Cricetulus griseus: one gene and its partners. The protein of the gene in region 1 purifies or fractionates together with the protein of each later gene. This does not show direct contact. Links are inferred from orthologs where the notes say so. Each region holds a gene or a part of one and is shown in the gene's direction. Other genes may lie near its edges. The genes, in order: Top2a, Srpk1, Smarca4, Ssrp1, Ctcf and Znf451.

The links.
Region 2: the proteins of Top2a (region 1) and Srpk1 fractionate together in Homo sapiens (co-fractionation; 3 studies listed by BioGRID and IntAct, with this or other methods). This does not show direct contact. The link is inferred for Cricetulus griseus from reciprocal best matches to the Homo sapiens genes TOP2A and SRPK1.
Region 3: the proteins of Top2a (region 1) and Smarca4 purify together in Homo sapiens (affinity purification with western blotting; 3 studies listed by BioGRID and IntAct, with this or other methods). This does not show direct contact. The link is inferred for Cricetulus griseus from reciprocal best matches to the Homo sapiens genes TOP2A and SMARCA4.
Region 4: the proteins of Top2a (region 1) and Ssrp1 fractionate together in Homo sapiens (co-fractionation; 3 studies listed by BioGRID and IntAct, with this or other methods). This does not show direct contact. The link is inferred for Cricetulus griseus from reciprocal best matches to the Homo sapiens genes TOP2A and SSRP1.
Region 5: the proteins of Top2a (region 1) and Ctcf purify together in Homo sapiens (affinity purification with mass spectrometry; 3 studies listed by BioGRID and IntAct, with this or other methods). This does not show direct contact. The link is inferred for Cricetulus griseus from reciprocal best matches to the Homo sapiens genes TOP2A and CTCF.
Region 6: the proteins of Top2a (region 1) and Znf451 purify together in Homo sapiens (affinity purification with mass spectrometry; 3 studies listed by BioGRID and IntAct, with this or other methods). This does not show direct contact. The link is inferred for Cricetulus griseus from reciprocal best matches to the Homo sapiens genes TOP2A and ZNF451.

What each region holds. Positions count from the first base shown.
Region 1 is NC_048600.1:112,071,888-112,075,387, reverse strand, and holds part of Top2a (DNA topoisomerase 2-alpha), read left to right. Parts: intron 1-378; coding exon 379-502; intron 503-640; coding exon 641-684; intron 685-1,012; coding exon 1,013-1,147; intron 1,148-2,255; coding exon 2,256-2,455; intron 2,456-2,731; coding exon 2,732-2,860; 3' UTR 2,861-3,500. UniProt on the Homo sapiens protein: Key decatenating enzyme that alters DNA topology by binding to two double-stranded DNA molecules, generating a double-stranded break in one of the strands, passing the intact strand through the broken strand, and religating the broken strand.
Region 2 is NW_023276806.1:233,721,655-233,725,154, reverse strand, and holds part of Srpk1 (SRSF protein kinase 1), read left to right. Parts: intron 1-1,094; coding exon 1,095-1,203; intron 1,204-1,791; coding exon 1,792-1,879; intron 1,880-2,582; coding exon 2,583-2,670; intron 2,671-3,500. UniProt on the Homo sapiens protein: Serine/arginine-rich protein-specific kinase which specifically phosphorylates its substrates at serine residues located in regions rich in arginine/serine dipeptides, known as RS domains and is involved in the phosphorylation of SR splicing factors and the regulation of splicing.
Region 3 is NC_048597.1:134,519,547-134,523,046, forward strand, and holds part of Smarca4 (transcription activator BRG1), read left to right. Parts: coding exon 1-202; intron 203-447; coding exon 448-546; intron 547-1,647; coding exon 1,648-1,906; intron 1,907-3,121; coding exon 3,122-3,248; intron 3,249-3,500. UniProt on the Homo sapiens protein: ATPase involved in transcriptional activation and repression of select genes by chromatin remodeling (alteration of DNA-nucleosome topology).
Region 4 is NC_048599.1:90,498,068-90,502,217, reverse strand, and holds the start of Ssrp1 (FACT complex subunit SSRP1), read left to right. Parts: upstream 1-1,350; 5' UTR 1,351-1,484; intron 1,485-1,960; 5' UTR 1,961-2,081; coding exon 2,082-2,135; intron 2,136-2,546; coding exon 2,547-2,732; intron 2,733-4,150. Other genes in the region: P2rx3 (P2X purinoceptor 3), read right to left, coding at 1,109-1,139. UniProt on the Homo sapiens protein: Component of the FACT complex, a general chromatin factor that acts to reorganize nucleosomes. The FACT complex is involved in multiple processes that require DNA as a template such as mRNA elongation, DNA replication and DNA repair.
Region 5 is NC_048596.1:181,950,439-181,953,938, forward strand, and holds part of Ctcf (transcriptional repressor CTCF), read left to right. Parts: intron 1-827; coding exon 828-961; intron 962-3,500.
Region 6 is NW_023276807.1:14,160,683-14,164,689, forward strand, and holds the start of Znf451 (E3 SUMO-protein ligase ZNF451), read left to right. Parts: upstream 1-1,207; 5' UTR 1,208-1,404; coding exon 1,405-1,425; intron 1,426-1,964; coding exon 1,965-2,048; intron 2,049-4,007. UniProt on the Homo sapiens protein: E3 SUMO-protein ligase; has a preference for SUMO2 and SUMO3 and facilitates UBE2I/UBC9-mediated sumoylation of target proteins. Plays a role in protein SUMO2 modification in response to stress caused by DNA damage and by proteasome inhibitors (in vitro).

The sequences.
Region 1 (3,500 bases):
TCAAAAAAAAATTGTAGTTAAACTGAAGCATATATATATTCCTAAAATGTTAAGTCAGAGACTAGAGAGATGGCGCAGTGGTTAGGAGCGCTGGCTGTTCTTCCAGAGGATCTGAGTTCGATTCCCATCACCCAGATGGCAGCTCACAGCTGTCTGTAATTCTAGTTCCAGAGGATCTAGCTCCCTCTTCTGGCCTCCATGGGAATCAGGAATGCACATAGTATACAAACATAAATGCAGGCAAAACACTCATGCACATAAAATAAAATGAGCGCTATGATGGCACACGAGTACACACACACACAAACACAAATTTGAAAAACAAAATGTTAAGTCAGCCTGTGTTTAAATGTCTGTATCCTCTTTGGTTCCTAACAGCAAAAGCCAAATTCACGATGGATTTGGATTCAGATGAAGATTTCTCAGGTTCTGATGGAAAGGATGAAGATGAAGATTTTTTCCCACTAGATACTACTCCACCTAAGACCAAAATTCCCCAAAAGTAAGAATTCTATCAACACAGAATTTAGTTGTGACTATTTTGATAGTCGTTGGTGTATTATTGATCTTTGTTTGACACATGTAGAAATGGTTGATTGTCAGGATGCCTTCTCTATGTGTGTTCTTTTTTTTTTTTTAGAAATACTAAGAAAGCACTGAAGCCACAAAAGAGTGCCATGTCTGGTATGTATCTGAGGAAAATGATTAGGTGCTTGGGAGTCTCAGTAAATGTGTGCTAAGCAAGTGTGAGGACCCAACTTCAATCAACAGCACACACCTGTGGTCCTAGCACTCGACTTAGAGGCAAGAGGATTGCAAGTTTAAGGCCAACCTGTGCTACATACAGCAAAGCTCTGTCCCCCAAAAACTAAGAATTTAAAATTCAGCTAAATTCTAAGGGTATTTAAAATATTCCCAGAAAGTTAGTTAAAATGGGAATCCATTGTCAGGGACAGAGTTGCAGGTGGAATATTTTAAATTTTGTGACCATTTCCCTTCCTGTTTGGAATAGGTGACCCTGAAAGTGATGAAAAGGACAGTGTGCCAGCTTCTCCAGGCCCTCCTGCTGCTGACTTGCCAGCTGACACTGAACAGTTAAAGCCATCTTCCAAACAGACTGTGGCAGTGAAGAAGACAGCCACCAAAAGTAAGCCTAGATCTGTTAGAAGGTTGATTACTGGATTAACTGACTTGGAAAAGACAGTTTTAAGTTTTTATTTTGAAAATGTCTACTGATGATGATGAAACTAAACAGTATCCTAATGGAAGTGGTGTCTTTTACATCATTATCAAATAAAAAATAAAAGGTTGTGGGGACTGGAGAGATGGCTCAGTGGTTAAGAGTACTGGCTGTTCTTCCAAAGGACCTGGGTTCAATTCCCAGCGTCCACATGGCAGCTCACAACTGTCTGTAACTCCAGTTGCAGGGGAACCAGCACCCTCATATAGGCAAGACTCCAATAAATAATTATAATCAATAGCCAGGCAATGGTAGCACATAGCTTTAATTCCAGCACTCTCGAGGCAGAAGCAGGTGGATCACTCTGAAAGTATTTTGAGCAGGGCATTGGTAGCAAAAGCCTTTAATCCCAGCACTGGGGAGGCAGAGGCAGGCGGATCTCTGTGAGTTCGAGGCCAGCCTGGTCTCCAGAGCAAGTGCCAGGATAGGTTCCAAAGCTACACAAAGAAACCCTGTCTCGAAAAACAAAAACAAAAGTATTTTGAAATCAGGGCATTACTCAGATTCCAGACATTATCTAGCTCATCTCTATGACATAAGGAAAGAATTTATAAGCAGTTGGAAGTAATCCAATATAAAATAACTTAGAAGCCAGGTGGTGGTGGCTCACACCTTTAATCCCGGCCCTCAGGAAGCAGAGGCATGTGGATCTCTCTGAGTTAAAGACCAGCCTGGTATACAAGAGCTAGTTCTAGGACAGCCTCCAAAGCCACGGAGAAAAATCCCCCCAAAAAAGAGGGGGGGGATAACTTAGAAATCAAAGCTGGGGATGTGGCTCAGTTGGTAGATTGCTGGGCTAGAATTTGTGAAGCCTTGGAATCAATCCCCAGCACAGCATAAACCAGGTGCAGTGGTAAATGTCCCTGGGGCCTTTCTTGCTGGCCAGTCCAGCTTAATTAGGAACTCTAGGTCATTGTGAGACCTTGTCTCAAAAAAGAAGGTGATGTTCAAGATAGTTCACAATGAGAAAACTCACCAAAGAGTGATTATGACCAGTACTCATGTTGACTTACAGGCCAGTCTTCAACATCCACTGCTGGTACCAAAAAGAGAGCTGTACCAAAAGGAAGCAAATCGGATTCAGCCTTGAATGCTCATGGCCCTGAAAAGCCTGTGCCTGCCAAAGCCAAGAACAGCCGCAAAAGGAAGCAGTCCTCTTCTGATGATTCTGACTCTGATTTTGAGAAAGTAGTCTCCAAAGTTGCTGCAAGCAAGGTATTTATTGCTACTTAATCCTTTTGCTCTAGAAACTTGAAATATCCAACTTAGGATTTGCTCTTAATTTTGCATATTTTTAAGGAATTAAATTTAAACCTCAGAATTCGTTATTTTGTACCATGTGTAATTTAGCTGTAGGAAAGTTAAATCTATCAGTTAGTGGAACAGTTGCTTTGGACCTTTTTCTTACTACTTAGTAGGAGGTGCTGGTGAAGTCTGGAGTGATGTGGAATGACCCTATATGCAAATTGCTTGCATTTTTTCTCTTTTTAGAAATCCAAGGGAGAGAATCAGGATTTCCGAGTGGACTTAGATGAAACTATGGTTCCTCGAGCAAAATCTGGACGAGCAAAGAAGCCTATCAAATACCTGGAGGAGTCAGATGATGATGATCTTTTCTGATGGGGAGAGTATTGTTTTAGCAATGGTTTTACTGAGCCCCGTTCATTTTAAAGTTATTTGAAGTTCTTCTCTAACCCCCTCTGAATTTAGTTTGGGGAAGACTTTTTATAAGACTATCCTACGTGGCCATCAGCTTTATATTCTATATACTGTCTCAGTGATGACCATCTCATGACACTGTTTTCTTCTCTGATTTATCTATGTTTTGTGTCTATTTCTTTGGTCTCTAAAATCTTGCTTGAGATTCTTTTGGATTCCACATAATTATATGCTCACTTCAGCATGACAGAATTTATTGATCATATGTTAAGCTAAAATGGGTATGTTTTCAAAAGTGTGCCTCTACCTCCTTTCCTATGTCTACTAAGATATGAATGAGGTAGCAAGGTGTTTCTTTTTCAGTTGTGTAGGTAGAATTCCATCACATAGAACTAGACAGTTCTAGTATGGATACAGTGTTCAACCTATGATTTGATGCATTTTTGTTTCAGCCATAAAAAATTACTCATAACTCTTTTAAACATCATCAGAGTCTGAAGAAAGTCATCTTGACTGTGTCTCCATGATCTCAGTACATGTAGCAAGAAAAAGAGAGTTAGTCTGGTTATGTGGCATCCTGACTTTCCTTATGATACCTTTC
Region 2 (3,500 bases), on another chromosome or scaffold:
TGCACTCCTTTAATCCCAGCAGCCGTGAGGCAGAGGCAGACAGATCTCTATGAGCTCAAGGCCAGCCATGTTTACAGATTGAGTCCCAGGACAGCCAGAGCTATGTAGATAGACCCTGTCTCCCAAAATAAACAAATGAAAATTAGGAAAAGATAAATCTTTTTTCCCCTTTGAAAGTAGCAGTCCATGTTTACCTTTGAAAATGTCAGAGGTGAGGTACACTGACTGCTACAGCTGGCCTTGTGTGCTGGGATTGTAGGCGGGCACCACCACATTCAGCTGGTACATAATTTTACACACCAATCCCACCCCCTCCCTCCTTTTTTCTGCAGACAGATCTCATAACGGATGGTTGTGAGCCACCATGTGGGTGCTGGGAATTGAACTCAGGACCTCTGGAAGAGCAGTCAGTGCTCTTAACCTTTGAGCCATCTCTCCAGCCCCAGTACATAGGTTTTTAAAAATACTTTTTCTCATGGTGATGGCAGCTGAGTGTAACTGGGCAATCAGATCCAGCTGCCCTGTGTTTCTGGTGAGCCTCCCCTCGTCTTTAGGATAGACAGCGTAGAGAATCTCTGTGCTGACTAGGAGAATGTGGACCTTTTCCCAGCAAGCATTGTCTGTGTACCTGAGGTAGCCCTCTCTGTTGCTTCCCTTTTTCTTTTTCTTTTTCTTTTTTTTTTTTTGTTATTTTTTGTTTTTTTGTTATTTTTGTTTTTTTTGTTTGTTTGTTTTTGATAGGGAGGACAGGGCTGGGTCTCGTTGTGTAGCTGGCTTGGAACTCCCATGTTGGCCTATATCTAGAAGAACAGATCTTACTGATTTCTGATTTTCAGTTAAATCAATGGTATTATTATTCTTCCTTTAAACATTTATGTGAGATGGCCAGTATTTGTTTTGTAATAGATCTGTTGGGTTTTGGAGGGACCCGAAATATTGTGGGCTGTGACCTCACAGAGAGCTGAGTGACAACAGTAGCTTTGAAGGAAGGGTCTCATGTTGAACTGATCTCAAAGATATTAGTAAATGGTGTGTGACTGCTGCAGGAGAGAGCGCTTTGTCCTGGTTCCTCTGATTACCCCCATCTTTTCCAGGAGGTTATCATCTTGTGAAAATCGGAGATCTATTTAACGGGAGATACCATGTGATCCGAAAGTTGGGCTGGGGACACTTTTCAACAGTGTGGTTATCATGGGATATTCAGTAAGTTTATGTGGCTCTGGGAAGGAATTAGATAAACCTTGATGTTTCTGACTTCTAAGAGATGATCTAGGTCTGTCTCTAGGTTGATTCCCTTTTTTAAGTTTCTTTTTATTTCATAGTTAGCATTCACATGCTAATTACACATATTGGCTTTCATTATGACACAAGTTCCTGCAGAGGCATGGTCAGCTTACCAGTCTGCACCACTGAGGCAAGAGATGGACTAAATCAATGTCAGTAAAGCTGGTGGCACTGCCAGGCTCAAGTCTGTACACATATTTAATGCTGCATAATAGAAAATCATTGGTTTAAAGTTAAATTTCCAGGTAATTAGACTGACCAATGAAAAATTATTTTACTGTAACATTTTCTTAACTGTGGTGTAGTTTTTAGCTGTTCCCGTAATCAGAAGGTGGACGTTAACTTCAGAAGATGTCCAGTGTCTGAGATTGCCTGGCATGGCTTCTTTTAGCTCAGTTTGTGCCACTCTTAGACGCACAATAGTCTTCATTTTCTCAGTTACCATTAGACTTTTAGCTATAAAGGTGAAGGTCAGATAATTTAGTCTGAATTGTCTGTTTTTTTTAGGGGAAAGAAGTTTGTGGCAATGAAAGTAGTTAAAAGTGCTGAACATTACACAGAAACGGCACTAGATGAAATCCGACTGCTGAAATCGGTAAGTTTGAGGTCACCATGTGGCCATGGTGCCTCTGCCAGGTCTCAGCATCACGTAGACTAGGGCTAGTGCAGACTCAGGGGCTCCTTGGAGCCATAGAGGAAGATATTTGTTTCCTGCATGTTATAGGCATTGATAAATGCAGTGGTTAGCATTTATCAAGTGTGCATGTTGTATGTGACACACAGCACTGCTAAGAGTGTCAAAAGAAAAGTTCATCCGTTTGTAGTACCCGCTTCATGTTATAAAAACGTAGCCTGCCTGGTGTGGTGGTGCACGCCCTTACACCCTGCACTTGGGAGGCAGAGAGCATGCTGATCTCTTGAGTTAGAAGCTGGCCAAGGCTGCACAGTAAGACTATCTAAAGAAACACAGCCTAGAACGGCAGTTCTCAACCTTCTACAATTGTAAATGTTGTGCTGACCCCCAACGTCAACATTATTTTTGTTGCTACTTCATGACTGTAATTTTGCTACTCATACAAATCATAATGTAAATATTTTGGAGATAGAGGTTTAACAAAGGGGCTGTGACCCATAGGTTGAGAACCCCTGACCTAGAACAAGTCTAGTGTCTTTGATTGGGTTTACCTGGAAACACAAGTTTATCTTACCTGTCTTCTCCTTTCTGTGGTGAACTGGGTAACAGCAGTAACTTCCCTGGATTGCTCCACTTGTGCTAACATGGATTCTTCCCAATACAGGTTCGTAATTCAGACCCGAATGATCCAAATGGAGAAATGGTTGTTCAGCTTCTGGATGACTTTAAAATATCAGGTGTTAATGGAACACGTATCCTTTAAGAATTCAATTTCAATTGTATTATTTTTAAATTGTGTGTATGAATGTGTTGCCTGCATGTATGTGTGTGCCCCACATGTGCACAGTGCCTGCAGAGATCAGAAGAGGGTGTCTGATCATCTGGAACTGGAATTACAGACAGTTGGGAGCTGCCATGTGGGTGTGGACATGGAACCCAAGTCCTCTGGAAGAGCAGTCAGTGCTCTCGATCACTGAGCCATCTCTCCAGCCCTCAGTTTTATTGAGAGAGTGTGTGTGTGTCAGAAAATAGCTCTCTTCCTGCATGGGCTCTGTGGATGGAACTCAGGATAAAGGACATAGCAGTTGATCAGTCAGCAAGCACTGAGTCACCAAGTTATCTTATTCTTAATCAACCAGGGGATAATTCATTGCCAAAGAAAGATGCAGGTTTGTATGCTCGAATCTGTGTCCTTGTTGGAGGTAAATAGTAATAAACTCATTTTCTTTGTTTTGGGCTTCAAGACACAGGCACCAGTTATGGCTATTTCTGTGTCCTCTTGAGAATATACTCATTCCCCTTTTCAGGAACATCAAGATCTAAAAACAATGTGTAGCTTTGTGGTTATTAAATAAAGGTCCTATACTTTTTAGGGATGAGCACAGAAAATTTTAAGGGATGTGCTTTTTTTTTTTTTTTAAATAAAGACAAGGACTTACCATGTAGCCCTGACTTTGACCTCACTATGTAGTCTAGGCTGTTCTTGAATGGAAATCCTCCGTTCACAGCCATCACATTTTTTTTTTTTTTCATGAAAAATAATGCTATATAAGAATTTTAAGGTACTTTTGTTTCATCAAGC
Region 3 (3,500 bases), on another chromosome or scaffold:
TACAAGATGTTGGCCCGGGGCCAGCCATTGCCTGACCACCTGCAGATGGCCGTGCAAGGCAAGCGACCAATGCCTGGAATGCAGCAGCAGATGCCAACACTACCTCCACCCTCAGTGTCTGCCACAGGACCTGGGCCTGGCTCTGGCCCTGGCCCTGGCCCAGGTCCAGGACCAGCTCCTCCAAATTACAATAGGCCCCATGGTAAGGGCACTGCCCCTGGAGTGGGGATGGTGTTGTTTGGTTGATAGTGGCAGGCAGCCCTGGCTGGCTCCCAGATGATGGTACTTGGGACTGCTGAGATGGATGGGTTTATGTTGAGATAAATGCTTTTTATCCATCTCTCTGGCATTATTTGTGGTGTGTGGGTGTTCTCTGAGCTGACATGAGCGTAGGCCAGCAGGTTTGAACACAGTGTCATTTATGGTGCTTTATTTCCTTGAATGTAGGTATGGGAGGGCCCAACATGCCTCCCCCAGGACCCTCAGGTGTGCCCCCTGGGATGCCTGGTCAGCCTCCTGGAGGGCCCCCCAAACCATGGCCTGAAGGTGAGTTTCTTTTCTCTGATGGCATGCCCTATCTCCTGTCATGAGCCTGAGCTATGTTGGACCCCAGAGATTGGTCTACACTCCTTTACCCCAGAAGAAGCCTTGGGCTTTTTTGTGGGGTTCAGCTGGGATCTGCAGAGTACTTCCTATCCTCCTTGTCAGGCAGGTGGGGAATGTCCTGCAATCTCCTTACACTAGTCAGCAGAGAAGGAAGGCAGGGAATGTGTCTACTATCTGACTCAAGGAGAATGGCTGGCTATAATTGAACACAGACAAGCTTGCTCAGGACAAGGTACTTCTGAGCTGAGGGGAGAGGTGTGTCCAGCATGGTTTCCTTCTCTCTAGACAGCATTCCCAGTGGAGGTCGGTACTTCTGCTGACTGTGTGTGGCCTTGGCCCTGTCCTCTCAGAAGTGCCTCTGGAAGTTTAGTTGGGTATTTCAAGGTCTATGTTTGGACAGTGGACCTTGCCTGCTCTCTTGGTGTCTGATGAGGTTCATTGTATATTAAAATCTAGTTTGTTTGGATGTGAAATAAGAGCTGTTCTCTCCATCTGAGATAGAAGCTATCCAAGACCCTCAGTGAATACCTGGCATACAAATAGCAGCAAAACACACTGCCTGTGATGACGTTTTGTTCATCAGACAGTGTCATGATAGAGTAAGCTGGAATGTGTTCAGGACAGTGTACACTGAAGTTGCCTTTGTGGTGCTGCTGTGAGGAAACGGTGAATGATGCAGACGTATAATTTGGGTGTAGCTATTCAGAACATCACTCAATTGAAACCTAGCAATAGTTTGTTCCTGGAATTTTCCATTTAATATTTTTAGACTGCCATTGACCAAGGGTAATTGAAATGTTAGAGATGAATCTACTAAAGGGGAGGAGTGGACTGCTTTAGAGGAAAGACAGGGGCATGCTGTCCCTATGAAGCCAAGCACAGATAAACCAAATACTGGATGGTTAGGTCTCAGGTGTGGGAGAGCTGAGCTGGAGGATGGGGGTGTCTAGATTCTGGCCTGGGTGAGAGAGAAGTGGAATGTCTGGAAGGGCAGTCCCATGGCCCCAGAGTTCAAGCAGCATATCCCGCTTGCCTCTCCAGGACCCATGGCCAATGCTGCTGCCCCCACAAGCACCCCACAGAAGCTGATTCCCCCCCAACCAACAGGCCGCCCTTCACCTGCACCTCCTGCTGTCCCACCTGCTGCCTCTCCTGTGATGCCGCCACAAACACAGTCCCCAGGGCAGCCCGCCCAGCCTGCTCCATTGGTGCCTCTGCACCAGAAGCAGAGCCGCATCACCCCCATACAGAAGCCCCGGGGCCTGGACCCTGTGGAGATCCTACAGGAGCGAGAGTACAGGTAAGCACCCAAGTGCTACACTGCCAGTGTTGATTGCCAGGTACCAGGGGATGTTCTTCATCTCTTTCTTAGGCTCATGGCTGTCCTAGAACTTCTGGCCATCCAGGCCTCACTGCTGAGGCACCTGATACTGCTCCCTTTCGGCCTTGCACTTGCTGCTGTGGCGTTGCTGCTGGTTCTTACTGCTTTCTTTATTCCTGTATAGAAGTTCTTCTAATGGGACTGTGAGCCACAAGAGAACAGGCAACATTTAGCCCCTGTTTACTGTTAAGGCTCCACATGAGAAAACTGCCCTGGTGCACATAGTAGGTACAGGGTTAGTGGGCGTGCGTGCATGATATATCCTTAGCCTGCAGACAAAACATTGATGCCCATGGAGATTCCCACAGCCCTGTGTGTCATGCTGAAACTGGATTGCCTGATGTCACAGCTCATTGCCCATGTGGCGTTAGCACCTAGCTAAGTCACTGTTCTAATTTGCTTTTCTATTGCTCTGATAAAATACTGACCAAAGCAACGTAGAGAGGAAAGGGTTTATTTCACCAAAGACTTCCAGGTAACAGTCCATTCCTGAAGGAAGTCAGGGCAAAACAGTACCTGATGCAGAGACTGGAGGAACAGTGCTTACTGGCCATGTCCCAGCTCATGCTCAGCTAGCTTCCATCAGACCTACCTTTCTAAGAATCCTGTTGCCCACAGTGGGCTGGCCCGTCTGATCAAGGCAGCTTTACACTTGAGGTTCCTCTTCCCAGGTGATTCAACGTGTGTCAATAAGGATGGTTAAAGGCTTGCTGTGGTCCCAGCAGGTGTGTTCTCAAGAGTACTCTTAGGCTGCTTGCCTCTGTTCTGTTGTAACTGGAGTCCCTTTCTCAGGTGTCATATCTCTTACAGTTGGGCTGGGTCTCCCTCCTTTGAAGGACAGATTTTTTTTTTTTTTTTTTAGATTTATTTATTATGTATACAATGTTCTGTCTGCATGTGTCCCTGCAGGCCAGAAGAGGGCACCAGACTTCATGGATGGCTGTGAGCCACCATGTGGTTGCTGGGAATTGAACTCAGGACCTCTGGAAGAACGGGCAGTGCTCTTAATCCCTGAGCCATCTCTCCAGCCCAAAGGACAGATTCTTTACAGACTCTAGCTTTAAAGACAGAGACCAGGTGATTACTTGCAGATGGATAGTCCTCACCGCTTGTCCTTTTTCTGTCTCTGCCCAGGCTGCAGGCTCGAATTGCACATCGAATTCAGGAACTTGAAAATCTTCCTGGGTCTCTGGCTGGGGACCTGCGAACCAAAGCAACCATTGAACTCAAGGCCCTTAGGTTGCTGAACTTCCAGAGGCAGGTGGGTCTGGTGGCCTCAACTCTGGGCTCATGAGGCCTTTTCTGCCAGTGAAAATGCTGGGTTCTCAGAATGCTTTGAGGGATGTTATCTGGGATACCTGTGTGGTTGGGGCTATCAGGGTCCCAGGAGAGTTGGTTCACTATCATGGCCCACACTTCAGTAAGACCTGGCCATGCATATCCTGTGCATACACAAGTGTGGGCTCCTGAAAGGCAGGAGGCTTGTTGAGTCTCTTCCTGAGGTTTCTGTGCT
Region 4 (4,150 bases), on another chromosome or scaffold:
CTCTGTCCTCCAGAATCTCATTGTGTCCCTAGCTGATCTCAAACTTGCTATGTCGTTACGTTTCAAACTCACAGTCCTCCTGCCTCAATTTCCTGGAGTGGTGTATACCACTGCAAAGTGGAAATTCACTTACTTCTAACTGCAGTTGGCAGCAGTGGCTGAAACACTTCTTGCTGTATAGAAATTTCTGAATTTTCTTTTTTACCCCCAGGTTACTTGAATCTTTGGTTAGGGTATGTGCTCCTGAAAGGTTGGGACTGTTTTAACCATCTTCAATGGTTTCCTCAAATCCTAGAAATGTGATGCTTTAACAATAGGCTCTCATTACATGTCTTAAACCCAGTTTGACTCAGTTAAATAGTGCTAGAAACAGCAGTGCTTAACCCAGGGGTTAAAGCCACAAATTCTAGATGGCAAGACTGCATTTTGACTGTCTCACATCCCAGGACTGAGTTAGCAAATCAGTGCAGTGATTGTCAGGAAAACCGTGAGTTTAAATATTCTGTCTTTATGCAGGGCACATGCTAGCAATTACTCTAAAGGTTGGACCCTCATGGTTATGATAAAAGGCTGATGTTAAGGAATCTGAATTCCGGGCTCTAGCTTTGATGCCAATGTACTTACACCCTGGGCAAATCTTTTGTGTGTTTCAATTTTCTCATCTGTAAAATGAGGAAGGGCGAGATAAACTCAAGCATCTCTTTCAGACCCGGCTTCAGATTTTGCAAGATGTACCCTGGCGCTATGTGAGGGCATCCGGGTTCTGCCAACTCAGGCTGATGTGGTTTCAAGTAAGTCCTAGCTCAAAGGTAAATCTGACACCAGCACTTGGAAGTTAATGCGGCCATCTGCCAGGCTCTTCCTGAGAACCCACATATTAGGGATATGGATGGGATGATGTTGGGGGTGGAAGGTGAACTCATTTCAGAAAGGATCCGATCCACTTGCCAGGATACAGCTGGAAAGCAAGCACAGTCACCGACACCCGCATTCCGTTTGCGGCTAGTGGGGGCGTCATTTTGGCCATAGGTCTGCATTTTCTCTTTCCAAAAGACTCCTTCCCCGACTATTTTAACAGGAGAGAGGGACATGAATGATTCCAACATACAAACAAACCTGAAAGCCTGATAAAACTTCATAGTTTCTCTTCAGAATCTCCGCTTTTTAGAAGGGTTTGCAACTTTCTAAAGAGAGCTCCCATTTCCTAGTTAACAATTCAGCCGCGTGGGATTCCACAGCAAGACCGTCACTAGCCCAAGGTACCGACGCTCTAGGAGACCGTCCCGTTGGTCCGCCCGGCTGGTGTCTTTCTAGCCAGGTCTTCCTCTCTATGGTTTGTGCGCGACTTCCGGTGGCGGGACGCGGGACCGCGCACGCGGGAAAAGCTTCCCCGGCGTCCCCTCCCCCGCATCCCTACCTCCTCCCCCGCGTCCCCCTGCGCCCACCGCCCGTGCTGTGCCGTCGCGAGGTTGCAGCTCAAAGAGGTGGGTGGTCGCGATCCCGGGTCCCGGGTGTGCATGGGCCCTGCTCCCCCGCGGGACGCTCGAGATGGATCGTTCCGCGTTCAATTTCGCCGGCAGTGGGCGAATCCATATTAAAAGGAGGGGGAGAAACGTGGGTCCAGGGGGTCTCGGGGTGTGGGATCGCTGGGGTCGGGACACTACTCTCCGAGCGAGTTGAGGTGCGCTCTCTGAGCAGGTCCCGGGCTTGCGCCGATTGTTGCCGTGGACTGTCGATGGAACGTCCCGAGAGGGTGTCGGGTTGGGGTGTAAGCGCCACTACAGGCCTGGTTCTGCACCTAGGGTCCTGGGCCTTGGCCTCAGGAACGCTGCAGAGCCGGGTCTGTAAGGTCCTCAGGCGCTGGAGAACTTGAGACGATCCAGTCTAGGCACAGCTATCCATGGGTGAGCGGGGTAAGGTGGTGTCTTTACTTGTTTATCAATCTCCTTCCTGAATTCAGATTCCCACCCTGCTGAACATCTACACACCTCACCAGGAATTGGGGCCCAGCTCCCAGAAAAGGGTTCGTTTGCTCTGGTGCAGCCTAGGGCTCTGTGCTCAGGCCACCAAGACAGGTGAATATGGCAGAGACACTGGAGTTCAACGACATCTTCCAGGAGGTGAAAGGGTCCATGGTGAGAATGACTTGGTCTTTTAGTAAATGTAGAAATCGGGAAGAGTTCGTGTCCATTAAGAAAAGCTTAACCCTGACTGCAGTTTTGGAAATAGGGTATCTGCAAAAGCAGCAGCAGAGTCTCAAGAGTTGTGCTCTTCAGTTTGAAGAGATTGCACGTGTAGATCTATCCTAAACTCCTGTGTTAAAAACCAGGAAACTGGGGTTAACAAGGCTGCGGGTACCAGAGCCAAGCTTTCGGTCTTGATTTGAGGTCTCTTGTGTCTTTTGACTTGATCTCACTCTCACCACTTGAACTGTTGCTTTTCCATTGATAATCTGGCCATCCTGCATCAGCACCACACAGGTGAGGGGTAAAGTGGACCTGCTAACACTGTATCCTGTTCTGAATCTGGCTCTGTATTTTGGACAGAATGATGGGAGGCTACGATTGAGCCGCCAGGGTATCATCTTTAAGAACAGCAAGACCGGCAAAGTGGACAATATCCAGGCTGGGGAGTTGACAGAAGGCATCTGGCGCCGGGTAGCACTGGGCCATGGACTTAAACTGCTTACAAAAAATGGCCATGTCTACAAGTATGATGGCTTCCGAGAATCGGTGAGAGATCTTGTTGCCATGACTCTCTCCTTTTGTAACTGCCCTGTCTTGTTTATTTTTAATCTTCTACAGACAGTTGGTGTTCTGATAATCATGTCATTGCTGGTTTGGGCTCCTCAGAGCAGGGCAACTGGAGACTGTTAAACAAAACACTACTGTCTGTTTTCATTGCAAATGTTATCTTGTGAATTTCTTTGTGCCCGGACTCCAGGTTTTCTCACATCTTGTTTTAGATAGTGGTTTCCACTTGCTCCTTCTGTCCTGGTTCAGAATCTTAGCTCTGAGATTTTGTTTTTCCATTTTGAGCTGTTTGAGTTACTTGTTTTTAATATCCAGTTTCATCAAAAGAGCACCTATACAGAGTTTAAAAACTCAGCAAGGTGATTCATACATCTGGGATTGGAAGTTCCTTTACTCCTCTCCCAACCTGGGTTTTTTTTGGGGGGGTATAAAAAGATATTTTTATTTTTTAAAAAATTATTTTGCTGTGCGGTGTTGGTGCATGCCTTTAATCCCAGCACTCCAGAGGCAGGCCAACCTGTCTAAGAGCGAATTCCAGGACAGCCAGGGCTAAACAGATTAGCCCTGTCTTGAAAAAAAAAAAAACAAACAAAGCAAAAACAAAACATCAAACACGCCTTTAATCCCAGCACTTGGGAGGCAGAGGCAAGCGGATCTCTGTGAGTTTGAGGCCAGCCTGGTTTCCAGAGCGAGTGCCAGGATAGGCTCCAAAGCTACACAGAGAAACCCTGTCTGAAAAAACAAAAACAAAAAAAAACAAAACACCAAAACTAATTTTATGTATATGAGCTTTGCTAGCAAGTATGGCTGTGTATCATGTGTATGCCTAGTGCTCTCAAAGCTCAGAAGAAGGAATTGGAGTTACAGACAGTTGTGAGCCACCATCATGTGGGTGCTGGGGAGCGAACCCAATCTTTTGGGAGAACAAGTACTCTTAACCATGGAGCCATCATGTGGCTAGCAGCCAGACGGTGATGGCTCATATCTTTAATCCCAGCACTGGGAAGGCAGAGGCAGGCAGATCTCTGTGAGTTCAAGGCCTTCCTGGTAAACAGAGCAAGTTCCAAGACAGCTAAGGCTGTTACACAGAGAAACCCTGCCTCCAAAGACAAACAAAAAAGATTAAGGACATCTGTGAGAGCATGGCTGAGGGCATCTGGGTCCCAGAAACAGCCTCTAGTAACAAAGCAAAATTGTTTTTAAACAGTTCTTTCGAGACAGGGTTTCTCTGTGGCTTTGGAGGCTGTCCTCAACGAGCTCTTGTAGACCTGCCTGTCTCTGCCTCCCGAGTGCTGGGATTAAAGGTGTGCACCACCACTGCCTGGCTTTTTAAAGGTTTTGAATTGACATGCTCAGTTAACTATGGTTTCTGATAAAGGATACATTGCTGAACTTTT
Region 5 (3,500 bases), on another chromosome or scaffold:
CAGTAGTTAAAAGCACTGACTGCTGCTCTTCCAGAGGTCCTGAGTTCAATTCCCAGCAACCACATGGTGGCTCACAACCACCTTGAATGAGATCTGATGCTCTCTGCTGGCATGCAGACAGAAGACTGTATACCTAATAAATAAATCTTTAAAAAAAGAGTTCAAGGCCTGGGTTATAAAATTATGTATTGAGACCCCATCTTTAAAAGAGAAAGAAAGAACAAAGAAAATCATTTTGGCAGGTGTCTGGTCTAGTACTTGGCATTGTGATTTTTTTTTTCCTAAATACATTCTTTTTTTTTTCCCCTTTTCATTTTTCAAGTTAAGATTTGTCTGTATGGCCCTGGCTATTCTGGAGTTCACTCTGTAGACCAGGCTGGCCTCCAACTCAGAGATCCATATGCCTCTGCCTCCAAAGTGCTGGCATTGAAGGCGTGCACCGTCACTGCCTGGCTAGGAAGGATTTTTCTATTCAATAAAATAGCAGAAACTAGGGCTGGAGAGATGGCTCAGAGGTTAAAAGCACTGACTGCTCTTCAGAGTTCAATTCCCAGCAACCACATGGTGGCTCACAGCCATCCACTATGAGATCTGGTGCCATCTTCTGGTGTGCAGATAGACATGGAAGCAGAATGTTTTATACATAATAAATAAAATCTTAAAAAAAAAATAGTAGAAACTAAAGTTTAGCATGTGTCCTCACATGCTACAGGCTAATGCTAAAAATTCATTCAGGCCTTCCTGTAGCTTGTACAGCTTATGCAACAGCTTTGAGTCACACATTGAACCCTGTCATTTACTGTGCCCTTAATTCTTTCTTCCTTTAGGTACTCGTCCTCACAAGTGCCCAGACTGCGACATGGCCTTTGTGACCAGTGGAGAATTGGTGCGGCATCGTCGTTATAAACACACCCACGAGAAGCCATTTAAGTGTTCCATGTGTGACTATGCCAGTGTAGAAGTGAGTGTCTAGTTTTTTTTTTTTTCTTTTGTTTTTTTTTTTTTTCTTTTTTTTAAAGAAGCTGTTTTGGATATGTTAGCATTACCACGGTTTTTTTTTTTTTTAAGATTTTATTTATTTATTATGTATACAACATTCTGCTTCCATGTATATCTGCACACCAGAAGAGGGCACCAAATCTCATAACAGATGGTTGTGAGCCACCATGTGGTTGCTGGGAATTGAACTCAGAACCTGGAAGAGCAGTCGGTGCTCTTAACCTCTGAGCCATCTCTCCAGCCCCCTTTTTTCTTTTTTTTTTTTTTTTTTTTGAGAAAGAGATTTCTTAGACTTTTTTTGTGTGTGTATATAAGAATACCAATTTCAGCTACACAGAGAAACCCTGTCTCGAAAAACCAAAAAAAAAAAGAATGAATGAATACCAATTTTAGGGCTAGGTATGTTAGTATACTTCTTCAATCCAAGCACTTGGGAGGCAGAGGCAGGTAGATTAAGGACAGCCTGGTCTACGTAGTGAGAACCAGGACAGCCAGGGTTATATAGAGAGACCCTATGTCAAAAAACAAAAAATTCCATATATTAGTACAAGAAAATGCTCTTATGCATTGAAGAAATAACTACTCATTTAAAAATGGAAGATTTGGTGTGTATCCCTTTAATTCTAGCATTGGGTAGCTGAGAATTATGAGTTTGGCATTACTTGGACTGGGTATTGAGTTTGAAGCATACTGGAATATAGTTAAGACTCTGTTTTAATAATTGCAATGATGGAAGGTTTGAGGTTGGAGCTATAGATCAGTGGTACAGTGCTTGCCAAGCCCCAGCATTCATGAGGCTCTGAATTTGATTCCCATCACTTAGAGAAAAAAGGAAGGTAGGAACCATTATTGACTTCATTATTTGAGTCTACCCTACTACTCAAACTGGATAAGGATGCTACCAAAATGGGGGGGATGGTGTGCAACCAAATCTAGTATTATATTGAAAAAAATAAGTTGTTGTTAAGTATATCCAAAACAAGACTATTTCAGTAGTCTGTATTTCTTTATAGGTAGCTGGAAAAGGGACAATAAAATTCAATTCTCATCACTGTGTGAAGTCCTAACAAGACTAGGGAAAAGCCAGAGTAAATCCATGTTAATTAACTCTGAATCACTGAAGTGATCCATCATGCCTGTAATTCCAGCACTGAGGAGGTTAAGGGGAGGTAGATTACTGCAAGTTTTAAGCTAGTCTTGGGTATAGATTGAGACCCTCTCTTAAAAAAAAATCTAGGATCTTTATTACAGCTTATTGAAGAAAATAAGTATGATATATATTATAAGAAGACAAAATTATTGTTTTTAATTATTTGACACAGGGTCAATATAGACCAGGCTGGTCTGTAACTCAAGAGAAATCTTCCTGCCCCTGCCTCCTGAGTGTCGGGATTAAAGGCCTATTCCTCCATACCCAGCTGTTTGGGCTTTTGTTTGTTATTCTTTCCTTTTTTTTTTTTTTTTTTTTTAATATTATTATTACTGGGAGTCGGGCATTCCTGCCACTCAATCAGTTTTTTTCCTTCAACCATGTGGATCTTGAAGATAAAACTCAGGTCACCAACAAGTGCATTTACCCACTGGATCGTTTTTTGCTAATCCCTCAAAATGTTATCTCTTACAAATCAAATTCTTTTTCCTTTTTTTTCTTTTTTTTTCTTTTTTTTGTTTTTTTTTTTGTTTGTTTGTTTGTTTGTTTTTTGGTTTTTCGAGACAGGGTTTCTCTGTGTAGCTTTTGGAGCCTATCCTGGTACTCGCTCTGGAGACCAGGCTGGCCTTGAGATCCTCCTGCCTCTGCTCCCTGAGTGCTGGGATTAAAAACGTGCACCACCAACGCCCAGCACAAATTCTTTTTTTAAACCTTAGAGAATATCAACTAGTATTAACTGAAGACCTTAGAATAGGGAGAATTCAGTGGAGAGAGACCAGATAAAGAAGTATACAAAAGTAAAAAATTCTGTGCATGAACCATTGGTTGAACACACTGCAACATGTTATGCCAGTGTACAAGTTGTGTATCCCTTATCAGTGATGCTTGTCATGAAAGGTGCTTCAAGCATTTCCCCAGGCTTTGTGGGGGTTTTTGTGGTTGGCAGGGGGTTAAGATTTATTTTTTTTTCTAACTATATATGTATGTGTATGTGGTGATTTGGTACACAGGAGTGCTGGGGCCAGAAGAAGTTTGGATCCCTTGTAGCTGGAGTTACAGAGTTTTGGTTGTGAGTTGCTATGAACTTAGTGTGGGTCCTTAGAAGAGTGGTACACACTCTAAACTACTGAGCTGTCTCTCCAGCCCCCCGCCCCCTTGTTTTGGAGTTTAGACTATTTGCATAAATGTACTGACATCTTGGCAAAGGGACTGAAGTCTAAGCATAAGATTGTGCACACAAACTGGAGATAATTTTATGTAGTTACTTACAGTGTACCTGTATTTTTACTGTGACCCATCACATGAAATCAGTGTTGGATTTGCTAATTGCTGCTTGTCAATTCTTAATTTG
Region 6 (4,007 bases), on another chromosome or scaffold:
TCTCATTACGGATGGTTGTGAGCCATCATATGATTGCTGGGAATTCAATTCAGGTCCTCTGGAAGAGCAGCCAGTGAGTGCTCTTAAGCTCCGAGCCATCTCTCCAGCCTCTGTTTATATATTTTTTTAAAAAGGCTTTTGTTCCAAGTCATTATTTGAGAAAAAAATTTAAAACCATAGTTGTTTTGACTAATGCATGAGTCAACTTTTACAAGTTCAGTTTTATTTTATAGAGCCTGGGAATATCTTGAAAAGGTACAATACAATGCCACTGTTCATTTCCTAACGAAGGGAGTCTGTCTTTGGCGCTTTTCCTTTCCTGCTGAACCCTGGACTCCAGCTGTGCTCCTCTATCTGGTCCTTCAGCAAGATTCAATACTTGCTGGTGCGCTGGCGTTAGCCATAAGAAAGGTGACTACCTAAGAGGGCATCACATCTTGGACTTCACCTAAACCTACCCACTCCATACCTCAATCCAAAAAAAAAAAAAAAAAAAAAAAGAGAGAGAGAGAGAGAAAAGGGCAACAAATTATTTCCAGTCACCGTCCTTCTGGCCCAAAGCAAAGACCACTGAGCTTTGCTTTTATGGCAGTAGGAGCAATTAAGGTCTGAACAGATTAGCTGAACACTACCAGGTCTGTTTTCCACTGGTCCTCTTTTGCCTAGACTTCTGGGTCCCACTCTCCAAGTAATTAAGGAACCAGCTCAGCCTAGCCTGAAGAGAGCAAGAGACAAACATGAAAGACCTCTGGCAGCACTATGGGACCTAATCAGTAATGCTTCTTTTAGTTTACAGGAATTATGGGTCGTCTAGAGACCTGTGAACAAGGAAGCCACTTTGGGAGACTGCTGCAAGAATTAACGACCTCTCAGAAACGCCATATAAGCTTCTGCATCTGCCACCCTTGCCAAGATATAAAAGGAAAAAGTCCTCCATTTTTCCATCCTCCCCGCTTCTTGCAGTGGCGCTCTTTCCCTGCCAGTGTCTCCCAAGTAAAAGGCGGCAGCAGACCGAGATTTTGCGTGGACTCAAAACTCTGTCAAGACCCTCGCCGCCTCCTCCTCCATCTTCCGGAGCTGCAGGTGAGCGCCATGCTCCAGGTCCTCGCCCGCTTTCCCTGCCACGCGGTCGGCGGCTTCGAGGCCGGCGGAAACTACAACTCCCAGGATCCTCTGCGGGGCGGGAGGAAGGCGGGGAGCGTACAAAGCGGCGCTGGAAGCTAGCGGCGGCGAGGCCGCGCTTGAGGTCTAGCGGCTCGGCGTCGTCCCCGCGGCCTGAGGCGTCATCTGCGTGGGCGCTCACGCAGGGCGGGTCGGGCGGCGCAGGGCGAGAGGGAAGTCGTGGCGGCGGCGTCGGGAACAGCAGCAGTGGCGGGAGCGTGGTGCTGACAGACCGTGGGAGAAATGGGAGACCCAGGGCCGGAGGTGAGTGGTGGCGGCCCGGGCCTTGGCTCGGCCGAGCCCGACCCCGAAGGGTTTGTCTTCTAGGCCGTGGGTGCCTCAGGTGGGCCGCGGCCTGCGGCGATTGCTGGGCCTCCAGGCCTGTGCACGTCTGCGTGGAGCCCTCAACAATGGCGGTCCGGCCGCCCCCAGCCCCCAGCCCCCGGCCGCCCTAGCTGTGGCAGCCGCAGCCCTGAGGGGGAGAGACGGTTAGAGGCAGGCCGTCGTTGCCTTACAAGCCTGCAATCCCCGGATCCTGGAGGTTTAGAGCCTGCATCCCTGCACCTGGAGAAGGCGGGGAGGGGAATTGTGGCAACTCGCTTGGGAAGGCTAGGTCTCTGCAGCTCCGAGACGCCTTAGCAAAACCCGCCTCCATGCAGTTCTGTGAGTCGGATTTGTGCGTGATGCGCGCTGTTCCCTCTGGGGCTTTTGTCTTAACTCGTTTCTTTTGGGGGGAGAAATTTTTTTTTTCTTCTACGAGTGTGTGACCGCGTAGATAAGCGTGTTTTGGCTTTTGTTTATAGATAATAGAATCTGCCCCACCAGCTGGGCCTGAGGCATCTGAGTCAACAACGGATGAAAATGAAGATGACATTCAGTTTGTTAGTGTAAGTAGAGGCTGACAATCGCGGTTTTCTGGACTGAAAGAGTATGGTAAGCCATTGTGTGATTAAACCTCACCATACATTCATCACTCAACAGATAGTCATGAATGTCGAATAGCTGCCACACAATGGTGAACAGGACATTTACCTGAAAAGATGCTTGGATGCTTACCTGAAGGGATACCGGAACAATTACAGTAGGCATCACAAAGTGGATGGCCTGAAGAATTGTTATGCATGCAATGGCCCCTCCCAGATCTTTATTTAAGTGTGTCCGTTTTGTTCTTGGGACTGAAGTCTGGTCTCTTAAGACTGCTTTTTGTTTTTTTGTTTTGAAATGAGGCAAGAATGCATTCCAAATGTATATACAGAGGACTAGTTAATGTCGAGGAAGTAGGAAAGGGCTATAAAGAGCCCTGCGTCTGCCGGGCGGTTTTGGCACACGCCTTTAATCTCAGCACTCGAGAGGCAGAAGCAGGCGTATCTCTGTGAGTTCCAGATCAGCCTGGTCTACAAGAGCTAATTCCAGGACAGCCTCCAAAGCCACAGAGAAACCCAATCTCGAATCCCCCCCCCCCCCAAATCAAAAAACAACCAACAACAAACAAAGAGGAGCCCAGCATCTTAGTGTGGTATATCTTCTAGGATAGCTTGAGGATGTCCCTAATTTCTGAGGTCATTTTGTTACAGCACAGTACAATTGCTGGTCACAATGAGGAGTCCTGCATCACCTGGAGCATTGCTGTGTTTTTCTAAATTTATTCCTTTGGGGACAGTAGTTTTCCAGCATTAACTGTGAGCAGGCAGATTCCTGGGCCCACTCCAGATCTGTTGAATCAGGACTTCAGGGCGGAACCTAGGTATTGTCATTTTGGAATACAACTTGGGACATTTGGATCTCTCAACCTTCATAAAGTGATGATTAAGGGGAAGACAAACGGCTTTGGGTGGTTTTCACCTGTGGTTAAGTTTGTATGTTGGGCTCTTCTTAAAGTAGTAGCTAGCCAGAGAATGTCCCTGCTCTTACAGCTCTTTACAGCTCTCCTGAAATGCTGTAGTTAGCTACAGCCTATTATAAAACTGTATAGTTCTTTATTGTTCACCTGATATGGATATGGAAGTTTGGGCTAACTATAAAATAGTGATCTGTGAAGAAGATCCTACTCAACATTGAGCCATTGTGGCAATCCATTGTGTATGGTGTTTTAGTGGGGTTTTGAGGGAAGTCCTCATAAAATTATTTTCTTGGCAGTTTTTCCATTGCACATTTCACTCTGTCCTTTTCATTTTCAACTTTGAGGATCTGGACTGAGGTATGCAGATACATTGTGTCTTGTTCCTTTTTTCATAGCAAACCGAAGTATTTTGGAGAAAGGAGAATGTTGGTAATGAATGTGTTATAATAAAGGTTTTAGTGACTCCTTAGGACCAATATTTCAGATTCTTCCTGAATCACAGTTTTTATGAACAGAATATTTACCTTGATGTTTCATGTAAGAGAAAAGGAGTAACTCTTCATTATAAAATATGGCCTTTTGAGAAATTGATAGAATATGTAAAGAGTAAGGTTCAAAGAGTAAGTTGTAGCTGGACGTGATGGCACACCCCTTTATTCCCACCCCTCGGAGGCAGAGGCAGATGGGTCTCATGAGTTTGAGGCTACCTGGTCTGCAAAGTGAGTTCCAGGACAGCCAGGTCTACACAGAGATACCCTGTCAGGGTGGGGGTAAATGTTTTGTTTTATATCTTGTGAAATAAAATAACATAGCTTGTAACTAGTTAATTCAGGTATTTGTTGATACGAATTTTAAAAGTACTATTTACATTTTATTTTAAATGTACAAAGGTACTTCTGCCTTTGCATCAAGAATAAAGTATTATAATGTATATAGATCTTTGCCTGAGCATGTAAGTGCTATCATTTAAATTATGATTAGTGATAGTTTCATTTTAAGATACATT